4 linked regions of the Anolis sagrei genome follow. The protein of the gene in region 1 interacts with the protein of each later gene in a pairwise test. Links are inferred from orthologs where the notes say so. Each region holds a gene or a part of one and is shown on either strand. Other genes may lie near its edges. The genes, in order: NTAQ1, NME1, FTH1 and PSME3.

Evidence for each region.
Region 2: the proteins of NTAQ1 (region 1) and NME1 interact in binary tests that used the Homo sapiens proteins (3 or more experiments, as listed by UniProt). The two-hybrid records come from large-scale screens. The link is inferred for Anolis sagrei from reciprocal best matches to the Homo sapiens genes NTAQ1 and NME1.
Region 3: the proteins of NTAQ1 (region 1) and FTH1 interact in a two-hybrid assay, tested with the Homo sapiens proteins (2 studies listed by BioGRID and IntAct). The two-hybrid records come from large-scale screens. The link is inferred for Anolis sagrei from reciprocal best matches to the Homo sapiens genes NTAQ1 and FTH1.
Region 4: the proteins of NTAQ1 (region 1) and PSME3 interact in binary tests that used the Homo sapiens proteins (3 or more experiments, as listed by UniProt). The two-hybrid records come from large-scale screens. The link is inferred for Anolis sagrei from reciprocal best matches to the Homo sapiens genes NTAQ1 and PSME3.

What each region holds. Positions count from the first base shown.
Region 1 is NC_090024.1:20,445,305-20,453,150, forward strand, and holds the start of NTAQ1 (protein N-terminal glutamine amidohydrolase), read right to left. Parts: upstream 3,796-7,846; 5' UTR 3,669-3,795; coding exon 3,568-3,668; intron 278-3,567; coding exon 178-277; intron 1-177. UniProt on the Homo sapiens protein: Mediates the side-chain deamidation of N-terminal glutamine residues to glutamate, an important step in N-end rule pathway of protein degradation.
Region 2 is NC_090022.1:114,433,073-114,441,362, forward strand, and holds the start of NME1 (nucleoside diphosphate kinase A), read right to left. Parts: upstream 3,530-8,290; 5' UTR 3,274-3,529; intron 2,071-3,273; 5' UTR 2,064-2,070; coding exon 1,944-2,063; intron 1,269-1,943; coding exon 1,167-1,268; intron 1-1,166. UniProt on the Homo sapiens protein: Major role in the synthesis of nucleoside triphosphates other than ATP. The ATP gamma phosphate is transferred to the NDP beta phosphate via a ping-pong mechanism, using a phosphorylated active-site intermediate.
Region 3 is NC_090021.1:237,529,797-237,537,934, reverse strand, and holds the start of FTH1 (ferritin heavy chain), read left to right. Parts: upstream 1-4,885; 5' UTR 4,886-5,050; coding exon 5,051-5,161; intron 5,162-8,138. UniProt on the Homo sapiens protein: Stores iron in a soluble, non-toxic, readily available form. Important for iron homeostasis. Has ferroxidase activity. Iron is taken up in the ferrous form and deposited as ferric hydroxides after oxidation. Also plays a role in delivery of iron to cells.
Region 4 is NC_090026.1:50,212,499-50,220,736, forward strand, and holds the start of PSME3 (proteasome activator complex subunit 3), read right to left. Parts: upstream 3,605-8,238; 5' UTR 3,397-3,604; coding exon 3,355-3,396; intron 1-3,354. UniProt on the Homo sapiens protein: Subunit of the 11S REG-gamma (also called PA28-gamma) proteasome regulator, a doughnut-shaped homoheptamer which associates with the proteasome. 11S REG-gamma activates the trypsin-like catalytic subunit of the proteasome but inhibits the chymotrypsin-like and postglutamyl-preferring (PGPH) subunits.

The sequences.
Region 1 (7,846 bases):
CAACTAAGGAATAATGGCCATGATGACAGATAATCCTAGGAACTGTAATTCAAAAAGTAACATTTCCAAGCTTAGGGTAAAAACACTGTACTACTTAACAAACCAGGATCCAGCTTTTGTTTTTGATATTGTAAACTTCACATTGCTTTTCGGATTCAGTTCTGTACCACAACTCACCATCCTTCTATCATTAGAAATGAAAACAGCATAAAATTCTTCTAAAGGGTACTGATTCTGCCTCTGGATGTATTCACAAAGTTTCCACACATTTTCTTCACTGTAAAACAAAACAGAAACATCACATTCACATTTTTTTTCTTCTGACAATATAATTTTAATATTCAGTATGTTTACTTACATCAACTTCAAAGAGTCAGATTAAGGATTCTTACTCATATCCATTTCCATTTCTAAAAGTTTGGCCAAATCTCTTTTTAAAAGCTCTGTGAGCATGTACATGCACATGTTAGAACCAGAGTTGACTTTTGCTAAGATTTATACTTATCACATACACCACTGTATGGAAAATACAGTAGATATACAGAAGGCCAAGAACCAGCTGTCTCTTCTTACCCCACCCTATGCATTGGCTGAATTAAATACAAGGACACTACCAGCATTATGTAGTAATTTGAGTATTGGGACGAGAACACTGGGAGAGCAGGTTTGACCTGGAAACCCACTGACCACTAGCAAGCTTGATACGTTTTAATCATTTGAAAGATTACTTTAATTGATATGTATATTTATTACAATTTTATAATGTTATGTTTTACTGATACTGTTATTGCCTGAATCTGGCACTGAATTATTATCATAGTTTGTAAGCCGCCCTTAGCCCCCCTTCAGGGGTGAGATGGGTGGGTATAAGTACAGTAAATAAATAAGCTGTATCATCTCGGCTCAGGGGAAGGCAAAGGCAAGTTATCATCAGCACTTAATGAATTGGCATATCCTGTAGTAGTATTTAGATCGTGTAATGAATGCCTCTCATGCCACTTCAGAAATTCTCATCACAGAATCATAGAATCATAAAGTTGGAAGAGACCTAATGGGCCAGCCAGTCCAACCCCCTGCCAAGAAGCAGGAAAATTGTATTCAAAGCACCCCCAATATGGCCATCCATCTGTTTAAAAGCTTACAAAGAAGGAGCCTCCACCACACTCTGGGGCAGAGAGTTCCACTGCTGAACAACTCTCACAGTTAGGAAGTTCTTCCTAATGTTCATGTCGAATCCCCTTTCTTGTAGTTTGAAGCCATTGTTCTGAGTCCTTGTCTACAGGGCAGCAGAAAACAAGCTTGCTCCCTCCTCCCTATGACTTCCTCTTATGTATTTATACATGGCTATCATGTATAATCTCAGCTTTCTCTTCTTCAGGCTAAACATGCACAGCTCTTTAAGTCTCTCCTCATAGGGATTGCTCTCCAGACCCTTGATCATTTTAGTCACCCTCCTCTGGACACATTCCAGCTTGTCAATATCTCTCTTCAATTGTGGTGCCCAGAATTGAACACAATATTCCAGGTGTGGTCTGACCAAGGCAGAATAGAGGGGTAGCATGACTTCCCTGGATCTAGACACTATACTCCTATCGCTGCAGGCCAAAATCCCATTGGCTTTTTTTGCCACCACATCACATTGTTGGCTCATGTTTAACTTGTTGTCCACCAAGACCCCAAGATCATTTTCACATGTACTGCTCTGGAGTCACACATCCCCCATTCTGTATCTCTGCATTTCATTTTTTATGCCTAAGTGGAGTATCTTGCATTTGTCCCTGTTGAACTCCATTTTGTTAGTTTTGGCCAATCATCTCTCTAATTTGTTAAGATCGTTTTGAATTCTGCTCCTGTCTTCTGGACTACTGGCTATCCCTCCAAATTTGGTGTCATCATGGAGAAGCACCTAGATAACATAGGAATGTCAGTCACTTTATCTGTGTTGCCTAAACCATTACACTGAACATGAGTCAACAGCAGCAGCTTAAAAAAGCTCATACAATTCTAGGCAGCATCAATAGGGCAATACTGCACTTGAAGGATCTTGGTAGCCTCGGGTGCAATTGGGTGGGGATGTGTGGGTGGGGGTGTGTGTGGGTGGGGGTGTGTGTGTGTGGGGGGGGGAAGAGTTGAATAAAAATAAGGGGGCGGTGGAAGCACAAAGAATAAAGAGAATTTTGACAAAAATGTTCATAGTATCATCTGTTCTGTAACAGAATAAAAAATGTTGTGTTTACTTTATTTTCCAAATAGAATCATAAGTTGGAAGAGACCTCGTGGGCCATCCAGTCCAACCCCATTCTGCCAAGAAGCAGGAAAATCGCATTCAAAGCACCAACAGATGGCCATCCAGCCTCTGTTTAAAAGCCTCCAGAGAAGGAGCCTCCACCACACTCTGGGCAGAGAGTTCCACTGCTGAACAGCTCTCACAGTTAGTAAGTTCTTCCTCATGTTCAGATGGAATGTCCTTCCCTGTAGTTCAGTGGTTCTCAACCTTCCTAATGCCGTGACCCCTTAATACAGTTCCTCATGTTGTGGTGACCCTCAACCATAACAAAACTGTCATTTTGCTACCATTATGAATCGTCATAAATATCTGATATGCAGGATGTATTTTCATTCACTGGTCAAAATTTGGCACAAATACCTGATATGCCCAAATTTGAATATGCGTGGGGTTGGTTTTGCCATTTGGGGGTTGTAGTTGCTGGTATTTATAGTTCACCTACAATCAAAGAGCATTCTGAACTCCATCGATAGTGGAACTGAACGGAACTTGTCACACAGAACTCCCATGACCAACAGAAAATACTGGAAGGGTTTGGTGGGCATTGCCTTGAGTTTGGGAGTTGTAGTTCAAATACATCCAGAGAGCACTGTGGACTCAAACAGTGATGAATGTGAACCAAACTTGGCACAAATACTCAATATGCCCAAATGTGAAGTTTGGGGGGAAAATAGACCTTGTCATTTGGGTGTTGTAGTTGCTGGGATTTATAGTTCATCTACAATCAGAGTATTCTAGACCCCACCAACGATAGAATTGGGCCAAAACTTCCCACACAGAACCCTTATGACCAACAGAAAATACTGTGTTTTCTGATGGTCTTTGGCGACCCCTCTAACACTCCCTCACGACTCCCCCCCCAGGGGTCCCGACCCCCAGGTTGAGAAATGCTGCTGTAGTTTGAAGCCATTGTTCCGCATCCTAATCTCCAGGGCAGCAGAAAAAAAAGCTTCCTCCCACCTTCCAATGACTTCCCCTCACATCTTGATACATAGACCTCAGCATGTCTCCTCTCAGCCTTCTCTTCTGCAGGCTAAACATGCCCAGCTCTTTAAGCCACTCCTCATAGAGATTGTTCTCCAGACCCTTGATCATTTGAGTTGCCCTCCTCTGGTCAGATCTCAGCTTGTCAATAAAGACACGAGATGCATGTTATAATCTATGTGTTGATGTATGTACTGTATTTTGACTGTGTGGGACGGGCCTGTGTATTCCTGCATTGGCAGAATGGGGTTGGGAGTGATGAACGGCCTTTCTCTGGGGCCTCTTCCAAGCCTTACCAATAGCAGCTGGTGTAGACGCACCCAGGCCGGTCTGAGGCTGCGGGCCGGTAGGCAGGCGAGGCTGAGGCTGCTCCAAGCCCGAGAGCCTGCTGCTCCATCCGGGAACCCACGGGCCTGGCGATGGGGGAGGCTTGGGGGGCTCATTTCCCCAGGAAGGAAAGCTGGGCAGGAAGAGAGGAGCGAGCCGAAGAGGAACCGGAAGTGGCAGCCTGGCTTGGAAGGCGCGCGCCCCAAGCAGAGGAGAGGGAACGGGCGCCATAAACAATACCTTCCCCGGGAAACACGGCACAAGAAGTGGGGTTCCGGGTCACTGTGTTGCTTCTTGATTGAAAGCAAAAATTAAGGAAGGGAGGGAGGGAGGGAGGAAGAGTGCATATATGTATATATCATACTAGCTGTCCCCTGCCACGCGTTGCTGTGGCCCAGTCTGTTGATCTGGAAAATAAAGTAATGAGAAAGTGTTGGTTTCTAATATATTTAATTTTTATGCTTGTGGATAAACAGTATTTCTTGTTGTTTCTTTATCAGTGTTTATGTGGAGAGTGTCTGGTTTGCCTACTCTGGAACATGCAAGATATCATTGTCCTTCTTTAAGGGTCCCTTTCAAATCTATGATACTATATCTCTCTGTGTGTGAATCATCTCTCTCTCTCTCTCTCTCTCTCTCTCTATGGCTGGATGGCTCTTTGTCAGGAGGACTCTGATTACGTTTTCTTGCCCTGATGAAGGGAGTTGGATTGGATGGCCTTAAGTATTTTCTGTTGGTCATGGGGGTTCTGTGTGGGAAGTTTGCCCCGATTCTGTTGTTTGTGGGGTTCAGAATGCTCTTTGATTGTAGGTGAACTGTGAATCCCAGTGACTACAACTCCCAAATGTCAAGGTCTATGTCCCCCAAACTCCATCTATGTTCATATTTGGGTATATTGAGTGCTTGTGCCAAGTTTGGTCTAGATCCATCATTGTTTGAGTCCACAGTGCTGTCTGGATGTGGGTGAACTACAACTCCCAAACTCAAGGTCAATGCCCACCAAACTCTTCCAGTATTTTCTGTTGATCATGGGAGTTCTATGTGCCAAGTTTGGTTCAATTCCATCATTGGTGAAGTTCAGAATGCTCTTTGATTGTAAGTAAACTATAAATCCCAGCAACTACAACTCCCAAATGACAAAATCATAAATTTTTGAGTGATGGTCACTCCTTGTGTTGTGAGACGTTTTGTTGCCAAATTTGGTGTGATTTCGTTCATTGGTTCTTTTGTTTTTAAGGTACTCATTATGCACAGAGCATTTATATATAGATAGATAGATAGGATTCATCATATGTCATATGTAATGGGATAAAGGAATGGGAAAGGTTTCACCAGCTTAAGGCTGGCAATCTAACATCCATATCCTCTTCTATATAAATAAAAATGTAATGTTTGTTTGTGGGATTAATATAACTCAAAAACCACTGGACGAATTGCCGCCAAATTTGGCCACAAGACACTTACTAACCCAAGGAGTGATCATCACTCATCCTCACTACCTCTGAGGATGCTTGCCATAGATGCAGGCGAAACGTCAGGAGAGAATGCCTCTCTAGACCATGGCCATATAGCCTGAAAAAACCTACAACAACCCACTCAAAAATTGATTTTGTCATTTGTGGGTTGTAGTTGTTGGGATTTATAGTTCACCTACAATCAAAGAGCATTCTGAACTCCATGAAAGATAGAATTGGGGCAAACTTCCCACACAGAACCCCTATGACTAATAGAAAATACTTAAGGCCATCCAGTCCAACTCCCTTCACCAGGGTAAGAAAACGTAATCACAGCCCTCCTGACAAAGAGCCATCCAGCCATAGATATAGATAGATATATACGATTTACACACAGAGAGAGATATAGTATCATGGATTTGAGAGGGACACCTAAAGAAGGACAATGATATGTTGCATGTTCCAGAGTAGGCAAAACAGACAATCTCTACATCAACACTGACAAAGAAACAGTAAGAAATACTGTTTACCCATAAGCATAAAGAAATTACATAGATTAGAAACCAACACTTTCTCATTACTTTATTTTCCAGATCACCAGACTGGGCCACAGCAACGCATGGCAGGGGACGGCTAGTCTATATAATAGAATGTTTGTTTGTGGGATTAACATAACTCAAAAACCACTGGGTGAATTGACATCCAATTTGGACACAAGACACCTATCAGACCAATGAGTGACCATCACTCATAAAAACATGGAAAAACACAGCAGAAGACACTTAAAAAGCCAAAAAACACAAAATACATTCCAACTCATGTGCAAAACCATATATATATACACACATATATACAAATATATACACACCCAGAGAGGAAGGGAAAGAAGGGGAGAAAGAAAGGAGAGAAAGAGGGGGGGGGGGGTAGTTGGCCACAGCAACGTGTGGCCGATACATCTAGTATCTATATAAATTAAATTTTAATGTTCATTTGTGGGATTAACATAACTCGAAAACCACTGGGCGAATTGACACCAAATTTGGACGCAATACACCTATCAGCCCAACAAGTGACCATCACTCATAAAAACACTGAAAAACACAGCGGGAGATACTTAAAAAGCCAAAAAATAAAAGTTACATTACAATGCATTCGCAAAACCACATATATACACATATCTCATAGTTTGTGGCAGCCACAAATACAAAGTTTCTGGAGTGTAGCAACTTCTTTCAAAGGATCACACAATTAAACAGGAAGTAACATTTTCAATTCAGGAACACTTTTTTTCAAATTTTGTTACATAGTGTAATTTTACTTTTTAGTTAGCATTCCTTGTGCCTGGAGGTGGATTCCAGCATTGTTAAAAAACACATAAACATTGTAAAAATTCTATAAAAAGGTAAAGGTTTCTTTTGATATTAAGTCTAGTTGTGTCTGACTCCGGGAGGTGGTGCTTGTCTCCATTTCTAAACCAAAGAGCCGATATTGTCCGTAGACGCATCGCAGGTCATGTGGCCAGGATGACTGCATGGAGCGCCATTACCTTCTCACAGAAGCAGTACCTATTAATCTACTCACTCTTGCTGGGCCTAACGGGGAGTTCACTCTGCTCCTCATTTGAAATGCCGACCTTTTGGTCAGCAAGTTCAGCAAATCAGCGGTTTAACCCACCAGGGAGCAGGTATTCTATAAATACAAATTAAAATGTATTTCTATAAAAGATGCATATTAAATTGCACTTCTATAAAATACATATTGAAATACACAGAGCAAAGATTAAAATAATATGTAACATATATACCTGGGAAAAGCTAGTTTTACCAGCTTTTCTTCTCTGCCAAACTACAAATCCCAGTATCCCACAGGATTGAGCCAGGGCAGTTAATTAGAGTGGTGTCAAACTGTATTAATTCCATAGTATATAGATGTACCCTGAGAGATAGCATCCTGGGAGTTGCAGTTTGGTGAGGCAGCAGCACTCTCTGATCAAACAGGTGAAGCTTTTCCTTGAAGAAATGTTGAGGAAAGTCCCACCTCTTGGTGAAGTTGCAAGGATTTTAATGGTCTCCAAAGGGGAAGTGACTTGTGGAAGAGAGAGCTGGCTTTCCTTCTGGTAACATTACAGACTCTGCAACTGCTTTGAAGTATTCCTGGACAGAGGTAAATTTATCTTAAGAATAGCTTTCCATAATAATAATAATAATAATAATAATAATAATAATAATAATAATAACAACAACAATAATAATTCCCTCAGTAATAACCAGCAACCCAATAATAGCCAGCCTTTTGGAGACTTTACAGACTCTGCAACCACTTTGAAGCACTCCTGGACCAAGGTGAACATACCTATAAGAATGGCTAATAATAATAGCTAATAATAATAATAATAATAATAATAATAATAATAATAGCTATATGATTTGGGAACAGGAATGAGTTCTGCATAAGGGTTTTAGGGAAACTAATACCCAAGAAATAATTTCTGCCACTTTCTTCCTCTGAAATATAGACTCCTGTAACCTAGTAATAGTTGGGGTCTGAATCCTGGAGAAAGGCAGGTTATTAAATCTAATAAATAAATAGTTGTTGAATGCTTTCATTGCCAAAATCACTGGCTTGCTGTGAGTTTTCCAGGCTCTTCTGATGTTTCACCACTATCTATGGCAGGTATCCGCAGAGGTTGTGAGATCTGTTGAAAACAAGGCAAGTGAGGTTTATTTTGGGAATTTGTATCCTGCCCTATCTCCGCAGAGGGACTCAGGGCGGCTAACGTATCTCCCTCTACGTC
Region 2 (8,290 bases), on another chromosome or scaffold:
CCTGGATGAAAGACTACAAAAGGACTCCACCTGTGTTGGCTGCCTTGAAATCCAAGGAGAGTAGCTGAATCAACTTAAAATAAATATAAATATGCTCAGTTCAAAAAGCCTGATAAATCAAAAGAGTTACTAAGTGCAGAAACACATTCAAATCTCACAGAAACAGATTAACTCTCTGACCTCAGTAATAACATATCTATGTGCTTTAGTCCCTCTCTTTTACCATCACAAACCAGTTAGCCATATTGTGGTCACTCATATCTGTGGTGAATTATCACAGATGGACACACGTGCATCTGAAGAAGTAGATAGACTATCTCTTCACACGGCTCTTTTGGTCCGTGCCGTTGTGCCAGCAATTGCCAGCAAAAGAAAGGCGCGTGGGGCAGCTCATTAGGTGAGACGAAGGGTGGCCTCCTCCACCTTTTCCCCCTATCAAAAAGGGAAAGGGGAGGAAAGTCCGGGTACCTCCATCAGAGCTACCCAAACTACTTTCCTCCCCAGAATGGAGGAGGAAGCGTCTTTTGGTGCTTCCACTCCATTTCAGGAGGAATATGGGCAGGGACTGCCATGCTTTGCCCGATGGCACATGACAGGCCCTGTCCTTGCCACGCAACAAAGAGCTTTTTCGTCTATTAAAGCTATGCTTTGTTGCTGTTGTGTTATCAAATCATTTCTGAGAACTGTTGACCCTGAGGCGACTAGAGACTAACTGGGGCTGCTCCGTTAGTCTCTAAAATACTACAAGATTCCAGACTGGCATGGCTATGTCTTTGAATTCTACAGACAGGCTATTAGAACTAAAAGATATTGGCATGGGTATTTCTCAGCAGATAGTTTAACCTTCCTGCCTTTGACAACCAGAGCATTAGAGCTTGGAAAATCACTTACAAGAGAAAGCAGCTATTCCTGTAGTTCTTACTGGCAGAATCTGTCCCTACCAACAAATACCAGATGATGTAGGCAAATTTCAGTAGAAGAAATTGGTGAAGCCATCTCTGAATATTCTTTGCCTGAGAAAATCCTATGGAATTAAGGGGATTGCCATAAATTGGCAGGCAATTTGAATGCATATGCGTGCACACACACACACATATAAGTCAAGTATAATCTAGATAACTTGCCTCATTCTAAAACTTTCAGTAAGCGTATATATGAAGACTTACCATGGCTACAACAGGTCCAGAGTGCATATATCTAACTAAACCAGCATAGAATGGCCTATCTTTCAGGTCAATGTAGTGTTCTCTCAGGAGATCTTCAGAGGCCTGCAGGAACAAAATGCTTAGCATAAGAACTTAAGAGCATCTTATGTCACATAACATTAGCCACAGGGGCAGTGTTAATCCTTAAATTGCATGCATCCTTTTCAAAGACTGGTCCCAGCACTGTATTAGAAGAGGGGCTACCCAATACCAGTCCGAAATATTTATTTTGGTTTGTTTGTCCATATGTTTTCTGCTGACACCAGTTTACTGATTTTTGCAGCTCCAAGAACAGCCAAAGCTTTAAGTTTAAAATCTACGTTGGAGGACTCACCTTTCAGACTAAGGCCACCACTTACTAAAATTAGAGTACTCAGCGTGGCTTTATCATCTGCCAGGTATTGGAAAGATTCCAAAATATAAGGCTATCTCGGAGAAGGATGGATTTATTTGCTTGAATTGGTGAACCAATGAGCATTTTAATGACCTTTGATATTTTCAGAATCTCAAAAGTGGCTTACAGTGAAAATGAGAGAATAAAACCAACTACTAGAAACAATAAAATAAATAAAGTCAAAACAATAAAATAGTTAATTAAAAAGAATTAATTGAAAAGTGGAAGAAATTAGCAATGTTAAGTGCTGCATAAATGATCAGGAAACTTTATGGGCAAACAAGTATTTCTAATGAGAATAATAGACTATCTGACTAGAAGTGACAGAAACAAAGACAACTTACATGCATGAATTTCATGGCTACCAGTTTGAATCCCTTCTGTTCAAATCGCTTGATAATGTCTCCAACCAAGCCTCGCTGCACTCCATCAGGCTTGATAGCTATGAAAGTGCGTTCACTCATTGTTCTACTGCAATAGAAAGCAAGGATTAATCCGGCTACATGTCTCGATGGTACGAACACAGTCTGCCGCAGCACTATGGTATAGTATTACACTGAGAACCATCAGTGGAATGGTTTAGGTACAAGTGTATACAGAATATTCAAATCAAAATTATACCAAATGCATACAATGTTTGGAAGATGAATAATTTGAAGATTATATCATCATCATCTTGCTATACAATCACTTGCATGAGAAAATATACTTTTATTTATTTATTTACTTACTTACTTACTTACATTTTATCCTGCCTTTCTCCCTATATAGGGACCCAAGGCAGCCAATAATAAACAACATGCCACAATTAAAACCATAATAATGACATCTTTTGTGCAATGAAGCATAAAAGTGTAAAAACTACATTTTAAAACGACACAAGCCCCCAAATACAGCTCCCAGCATCCCAGTTATATAAATAATTATGTAAATTAAGAGGTACATCGTAATAGAGATCTAGCAATAAATAATCTGAAACAATTATTCAATAATCCTAATTTAGATATCGGGAACAATCAATAGGTTCATATAATAACATTATGAGAAATTAAGAGAAAACTATGATATCCAAAAGTTGTTCCCCTACAGGATCAAAGATACCGACTATAGTTCATGAGTCAAAATGTAATAACTTTATTTCATTTTTCACATAGTCCCAAAGTAATTACATAAGACAATGCTTCGGAATAGATTATTATATTTTATATATTCCACTGTCCTCATACCCTGTTTCTAAACAAATTCATTTTGAACATTCTGCTGATTTAATTTAAACTTATTTTGGTGAAGTGTGTTTAGGAACAGAGCATTATAAAAATAGGAATTATGTTATTATAAACTGTACTTGCCATATCATATGATCAGTTTATCTCACTAAATTCGATCACTCGTCAGACCTCAAATGGCTGTACAGAACGGAACATGCTTCCACTCCTCCTACAGCTTCAACACCAATGATCTTGGGTAGTCATATAATATTTCATCTGACATTTCTCAGAGCATATTCCTCAAATACCTATGTGCTTTTGACATTTTTTCTGCCTATAGAAAATCCAGCCAAATGTTGAGTCCCTAAGCACTCCTATTGATAAGCTTCTACTACTTTTTCTATAGCTTCTCCATGCCTTGTTACCAGAAACACCTTAGGATCCCCTCAGCATCCATCCATCATACCTGCTACAAAGCTGCTGCTCCTGCTGCTCCTGCTGCTTCTGCTGAGCTGCTTCTGTTGGCGGCTGTGGTAGGGTTATTGCAGCCCCCAGCCTGGCGAAAGCCCAGCCTCACAGCTGGACTCTTTTGGAGAGAAGGCTGGACCCCACGTGTCCATTAGCCGGCTGCTTTGGTGTCATCTCTTCTTTGGGGGTTTTGCCAAATGTAGGGCTAACTTCTTGACTCAGTGGACGCCATCTGCTGTTGCTTTTAAGGACAGCTGTGTACATTTCTATGTAACAGACATTCAGGCTGCTCATTTGCCCACCAAAATCAACAAGGTCTGTAGAATTAAGGCAGTTTGACACAATTTTAACTCCCATGGCTCAGTAATGTGGAACTATGGGATTTGTAGTTTGATGAGACATTTACATTCTTTAGCAGAGAAAGCATAAGACCATAGAAAACTACAAATCCTATGATCTCACAGTATTGTGCCATGGCAGTTAAAGTTGTGTCAAACTGCATTCATTCTACAGTGTAGATACACCCAAAGATTAATCAGTGATGCAATGGGACAAGTGTTGCTGCTGCTAAAGATAGCTATCTGTAGCCATTTGTGGTGGTTCTGTGCTTTCAAGTCAACTCTGACATATGGCAACCCATCTGAGAGTTTTTCTAGCAACGTTTAATAAGAAAAGAATACATACATCAGAAGGTTACTCAGTGAAGTTCATGGCTCAGTAACATCTTGCAGCTGGACCTTCCAAATTTTAGACCAACATTCTTAACTTGTACAAAAAATAGCCTCTCAGTTTTTAAAAAAATGCATATCTATATAAATAAAAATGTAATGTTTGTTTGTGGGATTAACAGAACTCAAAAACAAGTGGGAGAATTGACACCAAATTTGGACAGCATACACCTAACAACCCAATGCATGTCCTTTACTCAATATTTTTATTTTGTCATTTGGGAGTTGTAGTTCTTGGGATTTATATTTCACCTACAATCAAAGAGCATTCTGAACTCCACCAATGATGGAATTGAACCAAAGAAACAACAAGAAATACTGTTTACCCACAAGCATAAAGAAATTACATAGATTAGAAACCATTACTTTATTTTCCAGATCACCAGACTGGGCCACAGCAACGCCTGGCAGGGGACGGCTAGTCATTAATATAATTTCAGTCTCCTCACTTTTCTTATCCCTTTTCCACATTCTTTTTATAATATTTATTTATACATCAGCCTGTTGATATTTGTCTTTTAATCCTCTCACTGGATTGATCCTCTGCCTTTTTTTCTTCCTGTGAACACTCTTGATCCTTTTATCCTTTGCCCTTTAACGCCCCAGTTGCTAGTGCCAGCATAAGTTCAAAGTGGCTGTGTCTGCTAATACAAATCACTCTATAAAGTGTTTGTGTGTGTATGTGTGGATATTTATCGTACCTACAGTATTTGCGTGTCTCTTTCATTCTACCACTAAAACAATTATGAACATTAGTTGTGTATTTCTCCAGGCCACAACTGTCTCTTCACCTTTTTTAAAGGCATGCAGCAAAATAAGAACCATCTCTCATTTGGATCTTATTCTGCAAGCTGGTTGAGAGATGTTCTCCATCGATAACTCATCACTTCTGACAAGTAACTTTTTCTCAGCATTTCCCATTAATAAAATATTGCTGCTTAAGGTCATACTAGATAAACAATAAAATATGAATCTAACATGTCGGTGGAATATGCTTTCTAGGAGTGTGATGGAATTTCCTTCTCTTGAGAGGTTTAAACACAAACCGGATGGCCATCTGTCATTAGTGCTTTGATTGTGTCTTTCTGCAAAGCAGAGGGTTGGACTGGATGGTCCTTCCTTCTGGTCTTAAAACTCTATGATTGACAAACAACATTTTTGGAAAAAAGACTGGGGGAGTTAGCAATTAACTCACAAAGAGGCCTTCACAAAGATGTTGAGAGTAAACCCCTTTTCTCTGCACTTGTTAGCATCTGTGTATTGGGGCATCGCTGTCAGAAGAGCTTCAAAGATAAGTCAAATTTAGACTAGGACTGCAGATATAGAGGGTCCATGCCTGGCAAGCATTTACACTAAAACCTGAAGTTCCCAATTGAAGAACACACTGACAAAGTGAAGACAGCCACAGAGTTTTATTAGCAATCAGGCCACTAGGGCTGATGCCAAAATGTACAAGCATAACATGCAATACAGAGACATGAGTTTTTATACAGTTGACAGCTATTCAGACTTCCCGCTCTGTCTGCTCCCCTTCCTGATTGGTCAGCAGAGAGGACAGTCTAAATTAGTGTTCTGATTGGCTGGCACTTCTGTGACATTTCTGCCTCTAGTCAGAGACTCTCTGGTGGGGGGGGGGGGGAGAAAATTATGGGGCCTGGCTTGGGGAGAGCCAATCAGCTTTTGGGTGGGTGAGTGGCTCTCCCAGAGGGAGTCAAGCCCCAGAAAGTTAATTGTCCATATCAGGAAATGTAAATGAGTCCTTGAATGAGGAAGTTTTCTGGGAAAAACAGGGGCAAAGGGTCTTGAGACAAAAGGTGATGATCTTCCGTAATCAGGCCTTGGGTGTCAAATAAAGGAATTCAAATGAGTATACATACTTTGAGTCCCTGTTTCCATGGCCAACCATCTCTTAGCCTGATGGAGACAATCAGCTGGACAGGTATCAGCTGACAATATCAGATCAAGAGCAGAAACTGGCTTCTGATTGACATGTGTACACAATGCCTCTCAATTGTCATCTTTGTCTAGTGATTTTGGCCAACCACAGATGTCCTATGCTGACACCCTCATCAATTGATTTTGCATCTTCATGGATACTTAATGCTATTTAAGCTTGCTGATTGCAACATTCACACTTGCTTAACACAGACAAGGGTTTTTTCTCCCACCTTGGACAGGACATTCCACAGACACACACACACTTCATTTACCTCACTTCCAACGGACCTCTGAAAATGCCAGCCACAGATGTGAGCCAAACGTCAGGAAAGAATGCTACTGGCACATGGCCATACAGCCTGAAAAACTCACAGCAACCCATTGAAGAGTATGTCAGTGAAAATTGTTCACAATTAGAACTCTTACGTTTGTTCTATTTTACATTTTGTTGGTAGCTTGTTGGTACCCTGCCCCTTTTCCTTGGACACCTAAATTGTACTTCCTAATTAGGGGGGGAAATATGTAGGCTATCATTCACATGCAGGCCCTCTGAATGTGACTTACAGGCAGAGGCAGCCCTAGATAATTTTCAACGGTAAGCAAATAGTATTTTGCCCCCCCCCCCCCCCAACCAATCACTGATATATATTTTCTGTTCGTCGTGGGAGTTCTGTGTGCCATATTTGGTTCAATTCTATCATTGGTGGAGTTCAGAATGCTCTTTGATTGTAGGTGAACTATACATCCCAGTAACTACAACTCACATATGTCAAGGTCTATTTTCCCCGAAGAGCGCCTCAAGAGCGCCCCTGGGCAAAATCAACTATACTGCAAATGCTTACTTTGCGTAATGGGTTGAGCCGCCCCTGCTTACAGGACCACCCTCCAGGGGCCCACCAAAGCTTTCCAACATTTTTTAAAACTCTAGTGAATTGGGGGTGCTTTTAAACCCCCAAACCTTGTATTTAAAATTCTATTTCACCCTCATTCATAGGGATTTTATCCTGCACTACTTTTAATGTATTTTTCCACTCTGGAATATTGATATATTTAGAAAGGGGAGAGCCCCCTTTGTCCATTTTTGCTCACTAGACTTCCACATCTCTAATTGGTTTGAAAAGCATGCAGCTTTGTAATTAATTTTAAAAAGCAGTGTTGCAAATCAATATGAGGTTTTATGTGTAACAACTTATTATGAGACCAGCACCAAGAAGTAGATGGAAGTCAACATGTGTGTGTGTGTGTATATATATATATTCTATTTTGTATTTCTCCCCCCCCCCCTTTTCTTTTTTCTCCCTTTTTTCTCTTTTTTCTTTTCTTCTTCTTTTCTTTTCTACTTCTTTTTTCTTGTTACCTTATGTATGGTGTTTTTATTCTTGTTTACTTCTGTGGATTATAACTTATTGTATGTCTTCAATAAAAATTTATTGCAAAATGAAAAAAAGAGGTATAGTACCCTGCAGATAGTTCATCTGGAAGAGAACATTCCCATCCCTTTTAAAGAATATTTTTTTCTTACAGCCCTGTCTTTGCAGCAATTAATAGTTTTTTGCCTCCTGTGTCAAAGACAGCAGTAAAATAGGATTAGAGTGTGACCTGTTCCCGACTTATACTCGCCTGGGTGGCACAGGGCTGCCTTACTCAAATCTCTTTGAACTGAGACATCAAACCTGTGACCTCTCCAACATAGGTCTGTACTGTTCCACTGAGTTGCGGTTTGATAACCCCTGAAGGCTGGGTTCTCTAGATTCTCCTCACAGAGTCTCTCTCATCTGTATGTATCTGTGAGTGATGCGTCACAGACCAGGCATCTGGCAGAGTAAAAGGACCACATGAGACCTCTCCCTTCTATCTGTGGTAAAGCACATGGTCTGTGCTGTAAGAGCTTTGCTGCCTTTTAAAAACTGCATTGTTGTCATTTGAAAGGACATCCAAGTGGTGAGATTTTTTCCATTATTTTTGGCCAAAGTCTAATCCTATTTTACTGCTGTCTTTGACACAGGAGGCAAAAAACTATTAATTGCTGCAAAGACAGGGCTGTAACTTTGGCCAAAAGTCAGAGAAGTGTGTTTCTCTTCTCTGAAAATCCAAGCCAGAATTACCAGCAGAGTAGAGTGTGTTCTCTAGATCAAGCAGTTCAAGAGCTACACAAAAGTGATAAATCAAAGGAGTCCATCAGGGAAAGTTCAAGAGAGTAGTCTACAAAGAAGCAAATATTAGGTCACATGGGAAAAATTAGTCAAAGATTTAGAGCTGGGTTGTTGCTGCCACCATGAAGGTCAGTTGACAACAACAACAAAAAAGGTTACATACAGCTGGAATTTATAGTCCAGCAGCAGATTGTAG
Region 3 (8,138 bases), on another chromosome or scaffold:
TTCTGTTTCTGATCCCAAAAAGCTTCTCCTGCCTTTCTCAGCAATGCCTCCCTGCTTTCTTATCCTACCATCTTGTTAACTTTCCTTCTAAATGTGTATCTACACTGTAGAATTAATGCAATTTGACACTACTTTAACTGGCATGGCTTCATGTAATCATGGAATTTGTAGTTGGAAGGCGCCAGCACATTTTGTCAGAGAAGGATTAAGACCTTTTAACATTACAACTCCCACGATTCCATAGCACTGAGTGATATCAAACTGCACTAAATCTACACTGTAGGTGCATCCTTAGAGGTGTTCACACAATTCCCTTCAAACATAGAAGATGAGAGAGGGTTGTGTCGAATAGCACCAGCCTCCTGCTGCCAATGCACATGCTAGCACCGTCCACATCTAATCTGCACATCTGGCACATACAAGGAGAGGTCTCTATATGTTAGAGTTCCTTCAAGTACGAGGAGATCAGGATGAGCCCAAGGCATTTCCTTATCTGAAGCAAACAATGTTCATTCCAAATTAAGATGGTAGTACTTGAGAAATTATGTTGGTAATTAACTCAGGCAAAAAAATCTCATGCCGTTTTTGATAACAAATACAATAAAAGAAACAATTATGTTCTGACAACCTGGCACAGACTTGGGTGCAAGATCCTGTCCCACTCTATGGAGTCTAGCCCAGAAGCTTTCACGTACATCATGTGATACAGAGGTTGCTGGGGGTGAAAAATGGACCTCAGAGCACTTGCAATGCCTAACAATGTTTTTGAGTCTTTTGGAATAGCGTTTTTCAGGCCAAAAGAGGAGAATTGCTGCTTCTGAAAGAGTTCAGGTACAACAGTTTACCTTCCAAACAGGTTACAAGGCACAGTAGAAAACAAAGACATAGCTGTGTTAATCTGGATTGGGTTGCTGTGAGTTTTCCAGGCTGTATGGCCAGGTTCCAGAAGCATTCTCTCCTGATGTTTCGCCCACATCTATGGCAGGCATCCTCAGAGGTCTGCTGGAAACTAGGCAAGTGAGGTATATATGTCTGTGAAATGTCCAGGATGGGAGAAAGAACTCTTGTCTGCTTGAGGCAAGTGTGAATGTTGCAATTGACCATATTTATTAGCATTTAATAGCCTTGCAGCTTCAAAACCTGGCTGGTTGCTGCCTGGGGATCCTTTGTTGGGAGGTGTTAGCTGGCCCTGATTGTTTCATGTCAGAAATTCCCCTGTTGTTTGAGATCATGAAAGCTTTCAACAACACATTAATCTGGACTATTAGTATTCCAGAGCAATACAGCTATGTGTTAGTTTTTTGTTATGTGATGAACATAACATATGTAGCTTTCCTGTCAATCTTGTCACATTTGCCTGACAAAAAAGGATTTCTCACTTGGGAACTTCCATTTCACAACTATGTGAGTGTGAGATTTTGAAACTTTGAAAATGTCAGGAAGGATAGAAAGAGATGCCCAGTTGCATAGTATGCCTCTCTGGAAAACATACTTTCTGGCACCCTTAAGCAAATGTATATATATGTATTTGGAAACATACATATATATTGAAATTCTTGGGCAGAGTGTGTAACTGGACCTCACAGATGCAGCTTGTTCATTCTGGCTTGCTGCCTACAATACAGACAATTAGGGCTGTGTATGCCACTGTTTACAGTCCTCCTATCGAGCAGCACACTACATTGCAATCCTATAAACAGGTTTTTAATCCTTTTTTGTGCGTGTTGCCAAATTCTGCTCCGTGATTATCTAACCTGCAAAACCCATAAACTCCTTTCCCTGCTACAAAGTAAAATGTAGTAACAAGCAATTTAATCAATAGTTGTAAAATTCAAAGAAGGACATTTGTAGTACAGATTGAGTATCCCTTATTCCAAATGCATGGAACCAGAAATGTTTTGGATTTTTTTGGGGGGGGGGGTGACAGACATGTATTTGCACATATCATCATTTGCACATATCATCTTAAAGAAAGAATATACATTTTATATATATCTTATACCCAAAGGTAATTTTATACACATACATTAGCGTACATAGCCACTGTTGCCCAGGTGTAGGAGGAGCTGGTGCCCCCTTGCTTTCATTCCTTTCCCTCCTCTCATAACTTTCCCACTTTTCTTTCGCTTCCTTCCTTCCCTCCTTTTCCTTTCTTCTCCCTCCCTCCCCCCTTCTCCTCTCTCTCTCTCTCTCTCTCCTCCCTTTGGTTCTCCTTCTCCAGCCTACCTCACAATGCTCCAGTGGCGACACAGCTGTCTTTATGGCTCCTTCCTTTCTTCCTCGCTGCCCCTCATATATGTCACCTTTCTTTCCCAGTGACATAACAAAGAGCCACTGAATTATCACTGAGCAACAGACCCTTCATACACGTTACCTTTCTTTCCCAGTGACATCCATGAGAGCCACCTAACTCAGCCAATCCAGTGATATCACAGAGGGCCACTTCACCTAGCAATGGCCTTTGTGGTACAAACAGACAAACATCCACATGTTGACTTTCATATATACAGTAGATAGATATTTTTAATAGCTTTGCTCATGAAACAAAGTGCATGTATGCTGAACCGTTAGAAAGCAAAGGTGTCACTATCTCAGCCCATCTCTGTGGACAAATTCAGATTTGGGAGAATTTGGGAATTTGGAATCCCAAATAAAGTGTGCGCAACCTGTAATAGCTAATACTGTATATTACTCCTTATCATTACAGAGCATGATCGGAAAATGGTGGAAGCATTTTCAGAAATCCATTCAGGATGCTCCTGGGAGCTCAATGGTTCAGTGGAGCCCAGAACTGAAAAACAATACTATAAAGCAGGCCTGGGCCAACTTGGGCCCTCCAGGTGTTTTGGACTCTAACTTCCGCCATTCCTAATAGCCTCAGGCCCCTTCCTTTCCCCCCTCAGCCGCTTAAATGGCTGAGGGGGAAAAAGAAAGGGCCTGAGGCTGTTAGCAATGGTGGGAGTTGGAGTCCAAAACACCTGAAGGGCTCAAGTTTGCTCATGCCTGCTATAAAGGAAATGTTACATTCCCTTGTATTTGTGTCACTCTTCTTTTGTGAATAAATATCAAAACAGAATAACATATTTTTGAGGTAATAAAAAAACACTTTTGATCCAGATGTACAAAAACACATCTTTTCTTGTGCTTCCAGTGGTCACTAAACGAATAAACAAATCCACACAAAGCAGGATGAAGTAAGCGAAATGTGGACTGCCACCAGCACACTGCCACACACTTTTGGGAAGACTGGATTTTGCTGGGTTTGCTAAAACAGGAGGCAACTTTATGTCAGTATATTTCCAGCCTCTGAGCAGGAATTTATCACTCACATCATCTGTAGTTACCTAACACACTGACTTCTGAAGTAATGTTATTGTGCCTTTAGGTGTTGCATTGTGCAGAAGTTTTCATCAGTGGCAATATAATTGGACAGCGTTTTCATCAGTTTCATAATTGGACAGCGTCACTCAATCAAAAGTGATTTGAGAACCAATTTATAAGAACATTAACATAAAGTAAAGGTAAAGGTTTCCTCTGACATTAAGTCTAGTTGTGTCCAACTCTGGGGGGTGGTGCTGATCTCCATTTCTAAGCTGAAGAGCTGGCACTGTCCGTAGACAACTCCAAGGTCATGAGGCCAGCATGACTGCATGGAGCGCCATTACAATCCTGAAAGTCAAAAATGTTCCACATTGGTGGTCCATTTTGCAGAACATGTCTTTCTTCTCTGTACAGGTTGCGAATCCCTCCTCTAAAATGCTTGGCATCAGAAGTGTTTTGGATTTTGGAATATCTGAATATACATATTCATGGAGATTGCATTCAAGTCTAAATCTGAAATTCATTTTTACTTGATTAAATAACTTATAATATTATTTCAGGAAAAATGTGGAGTGGGTGGAGGGAGGAGGGGTGGGAGTGAGAGGGTAGGGGAGGTGAAGAAGAGAGGGAATATATGTGTGTGTGTGTGTGTATATATATATATATATATTAAATTAAATTCATTTATTGTTTAAGTGCCTCGCGTTTCTGTTCTATATGCCTCACAAAGAATGCTGTGCTGGAAACAAAGTTTGCAAACATGGAACCATCAGGAAGCAAAGGTGTTGCTGTCTCAGGATGCATCTACACTATAGAAATAATGCAGTTTGACACCGCTTTAACTATCATGGCTCAAGGCGATGGAGTCATGAGAGGTGTTGTTTAACACAGTCTTTGGCTTTTCCTGCCAAAGAGCGCTTGGTGCCTCACTAAATCCCAGGATTCCATAGTATTGGGACATGGCAGTTAAAAGTGGTACCAAACTGCATTAATTTGACAGTGTAGATCAGGCATGGGCAAACTTGGGCCCTCCAGGTGTTTTGGACTCCAAGTCCAAGTTGTGGGACTTGGAGTCCAAAACACCTGGAGGGCCCAAGTTTGCCCACGCCTGGTGTAGACACATCCTAGAGCAGGCATGGGCAAACTTGGGCCTTCCAGGTATTTTGAACTTCAACTTCCACAATTCCTAACAGTGGCTGTTAGGAATTGTGGGAGTTGAAGTCCAAAACATGCCTGCTCTAGAGGAACATTTAAGGCATGTCTGAAGCGCTCTTCCTCCAAATCAACTTCTTCCGACGAAGCCTCGCAGGAATCAACAAGGCGCAAAACCTGCTGAGTCATGCTTACTCTGGAGGCGCGTGCCGGGATGTGTGTACGAGTGTGCGCGCGGGCGGGGCGAGGGAGGGAGGGAGGCAGGGAGCGAAGAGCGCGAGATCCTCAAGGAGAGCCTCGCGCCCGTCCCTTAGCGAGCCTCCATTTCTCCCCCCTCCCTCCCACCGAGCGGAGGGCGTGGCTTCCCTTAATCTCGGATTGTGACGCAGCTCGGGGCTATATATAGAGACGACGTCAAGGTGGCCGGGCCAGAACGCTCTGCGCGACCTAGCTGAGGAGGTTCCCGCTTCAACAGTGATTGGACGGAACCCACTCCCGCTCGGCCGCCGCCCGCTCGCTGCCTTCCTTTATCTATCTATATCCATCAATCGATCCATCCGCTCGCCTTTGTGCTGCCATGGCCTCGTCTCCTTCCCAGGTGCGCCAGAACTACCACCAGGACTGCGAAGCCGCCATCAACCGGCAGATCAACCTGGAGCTTTACGCTTCCTACGTGTACCTCAGCATGGTGAGCCCTGGGAAGGAGAGGGGCGCGTGCGTGTGCGCGTGCGGTGGGCAGGCCTCGAGAGAGAGAGAGCGGGAGAGCGCGCGCAATGGAGCGCTGGAGGGCCAAGGTCCTGCCGCCTCTTCCTCGGGTGCCGCGCATGCGCCTGGCGTGCCCTTGGGAGGCGCCTTCCCTCCTGGACTTCGCCCCGTCCTCTCCAGGAGGGATGGGAGTAAACAGCCACGGCTCCCAAAGAAATCTCGCCTTCTACTGCCTTTGAGGCCCGGATGGGGATGACACAAACCACTGATACGCATTAAGAGCGTTCTTTCGCATTATTTTGTGCGCGTTAAATGGTCAGTGTAGATAGGGCTTAGTCTAGCTGTGGATTCCCCCCATTCACATCCTTGAAGTTCTCCTGAGATAATAGTATGTCGAGGGTCTTAATAGCCAACCTGCAGAGTGTTTGGAAGAGAATAAAGTACACCTACAATGTGAAATTAATGCAGTTTACCGCCGCTTTTAATTACCATACCTTGTGCTATGGAATCCTGGGATTTGTAGTTTCCCAAGGGTTCTTAGCCTTCTCTGGCAAAGGGAAATTTGTCTCACCAAACTATCTCTCCCGGGATCCCATATCATTGAGCCATGGCAATTAAAGTAATGTTGAACAGCATTTATTGTACAGGTCAGATGCACCTTATGGAAGAACCCTGCCTTGCAATCAGTTTCCCCTCTCCCATTAGGATGGGTTAGGCAGCCACAATCCAGCTGCTCTCTCCAGAGATTTTTCCTGGTTGCTTTTTTGTGGCCAAATGCTGCAATGCAAAGAGGAACTGTCTTGTGATGAGCTTGCTTACTTCTCGAGTATTGCAAGATAACTGCGCCACTGGCACACTGCTTGCTGTTGAGTCTTTTTATTCCACTGGACTGTTTTGAGGTAACTGAAGAGTGGGGAGGGCCCCCTGGTGGCACAGCAGTTGAACTGCTGAGCTGAACTTGCTGACCAAAAGGTTGGCGGTTTGAATTGGGGGAGCGGGTTGAGGTCCAGCTGTTAGGCCCAGCTTCTGCCAACCTAGCAGTTTGAAAACATGCAAATGAGTAGAACGATAGATACCGCTTCTGTTGGAAGGTAATGGCACTCCATGCACTCATGCTGGCCACATGACCTTGGAGGTTTCTATGAACAACACCAGCTCTTCAGCTTAGAAATGGAGATGAGCATTCCCCCCCCTCCCCCTGCGGGGTCGGCCATGACTAGACTTAATGTCAGGTGAAACTTTTACCTTTACTAAAGCATGGGGAGGGAGAGTGTTTACACTTTTGTGGTGGGGACCTTGATAAGAATTGATATTGGCTCCTGTTTGCCATTTGCCGGCGCCTGTTTGTTTGCAGAAGCCCCAGTTCTTATCTCTCCAATAAAGAGTGATTGTACTTTAATTGACTTTGGACCTTTTCTCTGGAACATTTGTTTGCATTTGTTGCATTTGTTGACCGCCGTTCTCAGCCCTAGGGCGACTCATATAGCTTTCATATAGCTTGGTTGTTTTGAACACAGCTAAAGCCATTTCCCCAAGTTACTGTTAACTTATATGGTGTGTGGTTGTAAACCTATCAGCATAAATGTGGCAAACATATTTTGGCAGATGTATGTTAAAATGTATTTTTCCAAACACTGGAAGAGCTTACTGATCGAATCCACATATACTCATAAATTAGTTGACCATATGTGGAGAGAGGAAAATGCCAGCAGGGCTAGACGTTCCTGGCCAACTGCGGCCCCCATTTTCCCTTCAAAAAGGCCCTAAATTATACTATGGCTGAGAGAATAGAGGGGATCAATAGTTCCTTTAGGTTTTCCCAGGATAGACAAATAAATGCCCTTTTCCACTCTATTCAGAAAAGAGGATGTTTCCATTTCTTGCTTTTGATAAAGCTTTAAAGTATAATACTTTGACTCATGGATGGTGACCCAGATTTTTTTTTTGGGTTGACTTCTGAATAAATTTTCTAGACTCACATATGATTAAATGCAGTACTTGGAACTCAGTAGCTTTAAAAATGAATTTATTGACACTGGCTGTCAAGGGGTAGTCCAGCTCTTGTTGCTCTGGAGTTCTTTGTGATGTAACATTCACTGGAATACAGATTTCAATTTATGACTAATAGTCAAGGGGAATTGTAAGTGATATAACATACACTTATCTCAAAACCGTTTGTCTGGCAGATGGTTTCTAAAATGGAATGTGCTTCTCCAGCTCTCTTCAACCTGTTTTTGTGGCCTAAACTGTACATTTCACAGAGGTAGCAAGACTGATTAGAGCAGGGATGGAAAACTTTGGCCCTCCAGGTGTTTTAGACTTCAACTCCCAGAAATCCCAACCAGTTTACTGGCTGTTAGGAATTGTGGGAGTTGAAGTCCAAAACACATGGAGGACTGAAATTTCCCTGTGCCTGGATTAGAGGTTCAAAAACTCATCGAAGTAATGTAACAATTTGATACTTAAAATGAGTATTCAGAAATGTTTGATCGCTTGACTGTTGGCAATTTCTTTCCAAGCCAAAAATATCAGTATTGACTACCCTAACTTGCTGAGCTCTTAGAATTATTAAATCCCCTTTTTCTGTTTAAAGGGCAAACTCTCACCTTAGAGGCAAAGCAAGTTACCTTGTTCTCCCTGTTCTGAAGTGATTTTCAGAACTTACTTTCTAGGGGATCTACCAAAAGAAAAAATGACAATTAGACTTGTAACTTTGGTTCATCTAAAGGAGCACTGGGCAAAGTTGAAAGTTCCAGATATCTTTGGACTGCAGCAGTAATCATTCCTTACCATTTGTGGCACGGGTTGTTCTTAGTTCAAATCTATCAGTTTGTCCTCTTTTCCAAAGTCATAGTTCTGTATTTTGCATTAGAAAAAGATCATAGCAAGACCTAACACAGCCAGTTTGACAGGCTTGTTGTGCAGCAGTTGTATGAGACAGCAAATGGTAAGAAAATATA
Region 4 (8,238 bases), on another chromosome or scaffold:
TAGAACATTGTCATATTGCCCAAAAAAAACCTACAACAACCTAAGCAGAAAATACTTCTTTAATTTTGAAAATTGAGGTGCACATTGGATTTGATGATGCATTAGACTCGAGTAAATATGGTAATTCGGGGGACTTCAACATTAATGCAAAGCCATATGGGTCATGGTATGATCCCATAGTTTTCATGACCAAGAGCACATGGCTTTGGAGATTTTTACTGTAAAAGTTGTTGTAACAACTTTTGATGAAAAAATGTAGTATACTCACCTTTCCAACAAGTGAAATAATAAAATAAACATCTTGGGGCGCATATACATTGTAGAATTGATGCAGTGTGACACCACTTGAACTGCCATTGCTCAATGCTATGGAATCATGGGACTTGTAGCTTAACAAGATATTTTTCCTTCTCTGCCAAAGTGTGCTGGTGATTCCCCAAATAACACATTTCTGGATTCCATAACCTTGAATCATGGCAATTAAAGTGGTGTCATACTGCATCAATTCTACAGTTTAGAAACACTCCTCTACCTGCACCCGGGAACACAACAATAGGAAAACCTTGAGGTAAAATCTGCCCCCTTAATTCAAACAGTAAGGCCCCTTCTACACTGCCATATAAAATCCAGATTATATGCTTTGAACTGGATTGGATGGCAGTGTAGACTCATATGATCTGGCCATGGTGGTCCACGCCTTAGTCACCTCCAGATTGGTTTACTGCAATGCACTCTACGTGGGGCTGCCCTTGAAGACAGCTCGGAAATTTTGACTGGTCCAACGGGCAGCAGCCAGATTACTAACTGGAGAGACTTACAGGGAGCGGTCAACCCCCTGTTTTAAGGAGCTCCATTGGCTGCCATTCACGTTCCCAGTCCCAATTCAAGGAGCATGTTCTCACCTACAAAGCCCTGAACGGTTTGGGACCCGCCTACCTGCGTGACCGCATTTGTTTACGAACCCATGCGATCTCTTCGATCATCTGGAGAGGCCATGCTCTCGCTTCCACCCTCTTCACAGTTGTGACTGGTGGAGATGAGGGAGAGGGCCTTCTCTATGGTGCCCCCCCCCCCCCGACTCTGGAACTCACTTTCCAAGGATATCAGACAAGCCCCTACACTGGCAGTCTTTAGGAGGAGCTTGAAAAAGTGGCTGTTCCAGTGTGCCTTCCCTGACTAAAGGAAACAATGCCCTGATCTAACTAATTTTCTGCAATATGTCCTCTGAAGCACTTTATCTACCTGTTGGATTGATCTCATCTGGAGAGGCCCTGCTCTCGCTCCCACCCCCTTCGCAGGTACGACTGGTGGGGATGAGGGAGAGGGCCTTCTCTATGGTGGCCCCCTGACTCTGGAAGTCGCTTTCCAAGGATATCAGACAAGCCCCTACATTGGCAGTCCTTAGAGCAGTGTTTCTCAACCTGGAGGTTGGGACCCCTGGAGGGGTCGTGAGGAGGTGTCAGAGGGGTCACCAAAGAACATCAGAAAACACAGTATTTTCTGTTGGTCATGGGGTTTCTGTGTGGGAAATTTGGCCCAATTCTGTCATTGGTGGGGTTCAGAATGCTCTCTGATTATAGGTGAACTATACATCCCAGTAACTACAACTCACAAGTGTCAATGTTTCTCTTCCCCAAACTCCACCAGTGTCCACATTTGGGCATATTAAGTATCTGTGTCAAGTTTGGTCCAGATCCATCATTGTTTGAGTCCACAGTGCTCTCTGGATGGAGATGAACCACAACTCCCAAACTCAAGGTCAATGCCCACCAAAACCTCCAGCATTTTCTGTTGGTCATGGGAGTGCTGTGTGCCAAGTTTGGTTCAATTCCACCATTGGTGGAGTTCAGAAGGCTCTTTGATTGTAGGTGAACTATAAATCCCAGCAACTACAACTCCCAAATGACAAAATCAATCCCCCCCCCCCAACCTCACCAGTATTCAAACTTGGGTGTACTGAGTATTTGTGCCAAATTGGTTCCAGTAAATGAAAATACATCAGATATTTGCATTACAACTGATATCTGTCGCAAAAAGGCAGTTATGAAGTAGCAATGAAAATGATTTGATAGTTGGGGGTCACCCCAACATGAGGAACTCTATTAAGGGGTCGTGGCAATAGAAAGGTTGAGAGCCAGTGCTTTAGGAGGAGCTTGAAAAAGTGGCTGTTCTAGTGTGCCTTCCCTGAATAAAGGAAATAATGCCCTGATCTAACTAATTTTCTGCAATATGTCCTCTGAAGCACTTTAACTATCCGTTGGATTGATCTCCCTACATTATCCTCTAAATCCCCCGTTTAGACATACCCTCATTCTATTCACGTCCAGTGTTGTAAAATGTTTAATCCACTGTGTTTTTAAATTTGTGTGTTACTGCTTATATGTTATTTATAATATTTGTATTGTGTTTTACTTGCTTGTTTGCTTTGTTGTTTTTACTGATGTATTTTGGTTGGGCTTGGCCTCATGTAAGCTGCCCCGAGTCCCCTTGGGGAGATGGTGGTGGGGTATAAATAATGTATTATTATTATTATTATGGAGCCCTCGGTGGCGCAGTAGGTTAATCCCCTGTGCTGGCAGGACTGAAGACCAACAGGTCGCAGGTTCGAATCCGGAGAGAGGTGGGTGAGCTCCCTCTATAAGCTCCAGCTCCTCATTCGGGGACATGAGAGAAGCCTCCCACAAAGATGGTAAAAACATCAAATCATCCGGGCGTCCCCTGGGCAACGTCCTTGCAGAAGGCCAATTCTCTCACACCAGAAGCGTCTTAATAGTTTCTCAAGTCGCTCCTGACACGACAAAAAATTATTATTATTATATGAACCAGTTTAAAGCAGATAATGTGGATTATCTGCTTTGATAATCTGGGTTATATGGCAGTGTAGAAGGGACCAGAGAAGGCCTTGTTAAACTACAACTCCATAGCATTGAGGCAGGAGAGTTAAAGTGGTGTCAAACTGCATTCACTCTGCAGTGCAGATGCACCAAAAGAGCATCATAATAATATCCCTAAACCACAGTTCATCAGATCAAAAGGGATTCCACAGGCTGCTCAGCGAGAGGAACTATTAGCTCAGGGCCCTTCCACACAACTATATATATATCCCAGAATATCTGCTTTGAAGTGGATTATCTGAGTCCACACTGCCACATATCCCAGTTCAAAGCAGATAAAAGTAGGGTTTTATTCAACTGTGCAGAAGGTGCCTCAGCTCCATGCAGCATCCAACTCGTCCTGGCCCTATTCGTCAGCCGCAGCCTGGCTGGGGAACGCCCAGCCGCCTCCCGGCGCTCTGCACATGCTTAAGGACACGGCCCGCCCGTGGCGGAAGCGGCTCTTCCCTTTCTCTCGTACCTTGATCTTCACTTCCGGGTCCACCTTGAGGAGGGAGGCCATGGCGGGGCGGGGGAGCCGGTTTCCCGAACCAGAGCCGTCTCTTGCTGTCCCGCGCGCGCGCGACCACCCAAGGAAACCACCGGCTTCGCCACTGCCGGATGTGACGGCATAACCTCCCCCCTCCCCCTCCTTCTTAGCCACCCCGCCTGGACCAATCACCGAACGCCTAGCCGGCCAACGTGATTCGCACGATGCCTTTTGTCGTCCGCCCCTCTTCCTTTAGAAGGCGCGTGCGCTGAAGGGGCAGCCAAGCCACTTCCGATTGTGTGGGCGGGGCCTCTGGAGAAACGAAGCCGGAGCACATAGAAACAGAAAGGAAAGACTGAAACATTGTTTGCGAGTTTCCGATACCATTTGGCATGTGGTTGGTGTCTGAAGGTGACTCTGAAGGATCTATAAAGTATCTCCAACGATTTTTGTCCCTGGGTTATAAATGTCATTTCCTAATTGGTTCTATCATAAAAATATGGAAATAGTTTATTAAACTGTCAAAATTTTGTTTTTGTCGGACATCCTGCAGCACATCTTGTAGTTTTTCAATGAATGTCTCATAGAGTTTCAACCAATTCAACAAAGGCCCTGTCCAAACAGCTTAATAATAATAATAATAATAATAATAATGGGTTGTTGTAGGTTTTTTCGGACTATATGGCCATGATCTGGAGGCATTTTGTCCTGACGTTTCGCCTGCATCTATGGCAAGCATCCTCAGAGGTAGTGAGGTCTGTTGGAACTAGGAAATGGGTTTATATATCTGTGGAATGACCAGGGTGGGACAAAGGAGTCTTGTCTGCTGGAGCTAGGTGTGAATGTTTCAACTGACCACCTTGATTAGCCTTTCCAGAATAGGAAAACTCCAATAACAAGTCCCAGAAACACTTTATTAGAATTAAGATTGCTGCACACTGCACTTACCCTATAATCCTTACATATCACCTGTCACACCAGCACTTTTTAATTCTGTACCCATTACTCTGGCCCGGCCCAGTTTTATTGTGTCTTGGTGTATTCTTTATTGCTTGTTGTTTAATATTGCTTTAATTGTTTTTAAATTGCTTAGGTTTTGTATTGTTATGTTGTGTTTTGAGGCCTTGGCCTTTGTAAACCGCTTCGAGTCCTTCGGGAGATGCTAGCAAGGTACAAATAAAGTTAATAATAATAATAATAATAATAATGGGCAGACAGTGCCTGGAGCAAACTTTTGTTGAGAGGTGATTATATGTCCTTGTTTGTTTCCTCTCTGTTGTTGTGCTGTTGCAATTTTAGAGTTTTTTTAAATATTGGTAGCCAGATTTTGTTCATTTTCATGGTTTCCTCCTTTCTGTTGAAATTGTCCACATGCTTGTGGATTTCAATGGCTTCTCTGTGTAGTCTGACATGGTGGTTGTTGGAGTGATCCAGCATTTCTGTGTTCTCAAATAAAATGCTGTGTCCAGGTTGGTTCATCAGGTGCTCTGCTATGGCTGAATTCTCAGGTTGGAGTAGTCTTCAGTGCCTTTCATATTCCTTGATTCGTGTTTGGGGAATGCTGCGTTTGGTGGTCCCTATGTAGACTTGTCCACAGCTGCATGGTACACAGAAACATCAGGAGATAATGCTTCTAGAGGAGGGGTCCTCAAACTTTTTAAACAGAGGGTCAGGTCACAGTCCCTCAAACTGTTGGAGGGTCAGATTATAATTTGAAAAAAGCATGAATGAATTCCTATGCACACTGCACATATCTTATTTGTAGTGCAAAAAACGCTTAAAACAATACAAGAATTGAAATGAAGAACAATTTTAACATACATAAACTTATTAGTATTTCAGTGGGAAGTGTGGGCCTGCTTTTGGCTGATTAGATAGGATTGTTGTTGTTGTTGTTGTTGTTGTTGTGTGCTTTCAAACGTTTCAGACTTAGGTTGACCCTGAGCGAGGGCCGGGTAAATGACTTTGGAGCGGTGAGGGAGGAAGGGGGCACCCGCCTAGGCAGCCAGATCAGCCAAATCAATCCTGGCGATCAATGGGGTGACAGATGTCGCAGCCAGATTGCCCTCACATCAACTTAGGTTGACCCTGAGCAAGGGCCAGGTAAATGACCTTGGAGGGCTGCATCCGGCCCTTGGGCCTTAGTTTGAGGACCCCTGCTCTAGACCATGGCTATATAACCCAAAAAAAAATAATAATCTACAACAACCCAGTGATTCCGGCCATGAAAGCCTTCAACAATACAATAATAATAATATAAACTTTATTTATACCCCGCCATCATCTCCCCAAGGGACTTGGAGCAGCTTACATGAGGCCAAGCTCAACAACACATCAATAAAAACAAAAAGCAATAAACAAAAAACAATAAGTACAATACAATTAATATAATAAATCTATATAAATAAAAATGTGATGTTTGTTTGTGGGATTAACAGAACTCAAAACCCACTGGGGGACTTGACACCAAATTTGGACACAAGACACCTAACAACCCAATGTATGTCCTTCACTCAAAAAATTGATTTTGTCATTTGGGAGTTGTAGTTGCTGGGATTTATAGTTCACTTACAATCAAAGAGCATTCTGAATCCCACCAACGATGGAATTGAACAAAAATTGGCACACAGAACTCCCATGACCGACAGAAAATACAGGAAGGGTTTGGTGGGTATTGACCTTGAGTTTGGGAGTTGTAGTTCATCTACATCCAGAGATCACTGTAGACTCAAACAATGATGGATCTGGACCAAACACTATACAAAGACTAAATATGCCCAAATGTGAACACCGGTGGGGTTTGGAGAAAATATAATCTTGACATTTGGAAGTTGTAGTTGCTGGGATTTATAGTTCACCTACCATCAGAGCATTGTGAACCCCACCAACGATAGAATTGTGCCAAACCTCCCACACAGAACCCCATGTGGGCCACAGCAATGTGTGGCAGGGGACGGCTAGTCACATATAAACAATAACCAATAAACAGTAACACACAAGGATTTAAAAACCTGTGGCCGGGCCAAATGTAATAGTTTAAAAATTTAAAAAATAAATGCTGGGCATGAACGAGGGAGGATATATTGGGTTCTAAAAGAGATGAGGGAGCGCAGTCAATCCTAAACCAGTAGTAAAGTGCATTCTGAGGACATATTGCTGGGAATTTTCTTTTCTGGGAAGGCACACTGGAACAGCCACGTTTTCAGGCTCCTCCTAAAGACTGCCAATGATGGGGCATGCCTGATGTCCTTGGGAAGTGAGTTCCAGAGTCGGGGGGCCACCACCGAGAAGGCCCTCTCCCTCGTCCCCACCAATCGCGCCTGCGAAGGGGGCAGGAGCAAGTGCAGGGCCTCTCCAGATGATTGAAGAGATCGTATGGGTTCATATACAGAAATGCGGTCATGGAAGTAGGCGGGTCCCAAACCGTTCAGGGCTTTGTAGGTAAGAACTTGCACCTTGAATTGGGACCAGAAAATAAATTATCTGCTTTGAGCTGGAATATATGGCGCTTCCAGGCGGGCCCTATATCCCAGGATCTGATGCCAGGTTTTCTGCTTTAAACTGGATTATGTCAGTCCGCACTGCCAGATAATCTGGGAGGGGTCTTCAAACTAAGGTCTGAGGGCCGGATATGGCTCTCCAAGGTAATTTACCCGGCCCTCGCTCAGGGTCATCCTAAAGCTGAACTGACTTGAAAGCACACAGCAATAATACTAACAATCCTATCTCATCAGCCAAAAGCGGGCCCACACTTCCCATTGAAATACTAATAAGTTTATATTTGTTACAATTGTTCTTCATTTTAATTATTGTATTTTTAAAGTATTTTTTGCGCTAAAAATAAGATATGTGCAGTGTGCATGGGAATTCATTCATGCTTTTTTCAAATTATAATCCGGCCCTCCAACAGTTTGAGGGACTGTGACCTGGCCCTCGGTTTTAAAAGTTTGAAGACCCCTGATCTGGGATAAAGGAAAACACTGCGAACACCAAGCACAAAGTAGTTACACACAGTACATCCTGCAGAAACTTATATCATCCCTGGCTCTGTCTTATTCAGCTGCCCTGTTTGGCACAACTCTGTCAACGCGAAGCAGGTGAATATAGCACTGAACAAAACATGTAGAATAATCACAGGGTGTCGTAAACCTACACCTGCTGATAGACTCTATAACAGTGTTTCTCAACCTTCCTAATGCCACAATGCCTTCATACAGTTCCTCATGTTGTGGTGACCCCCAGCCACAACATTATTTTCGTTGCTACTTCATAACTATAATTTTGCTCATTTTACGAATCGTAATGTAATACCTGATATGCAGGATGTATTTTCATTCACTGGACCAAATTTGGCACAAATACCCAATATGCCCAAATTTGAATACTGGTGGGGTTGGGGGGGGGGGTTGATTTTGTCATTTGGGAGTTGTAGTTGCTGGGATGTTAGTTCACCTCTTAGAGACCCTAAATTGGGTCTTCTTAGGTCCACATCACGGGAGCACGAAAGGAAGGAGACAGTCCCAAAAAAAGATCAAAGAACAAGGTTTTATTTTAGTTTCTTCATGAAGAAGACGGACAGCCTGACAGCATACGCAGTGACTGCCGCCTCTCCTTGGGTTTTTACCACCAATATATAACCTCAAGTAAATAAGAACATTTTTTGTCATGGAAAGTACTCTCTTTCCAGCCCCCTCCCTTGACCTTTTGATAGAAAGTACCTTCTTGTACCTGCAGACTCTGCGCTTCAAAAAACAACCTTTGAACTTAACCACAATACAACTTCCGACCTCTACATGTCACATCTTGTTTCTTAAAAACATTTTCTTCCGTGTTGCTCTTTTTCTACACAGAAAGGGTCTGTTTCTCTTTGGCTGT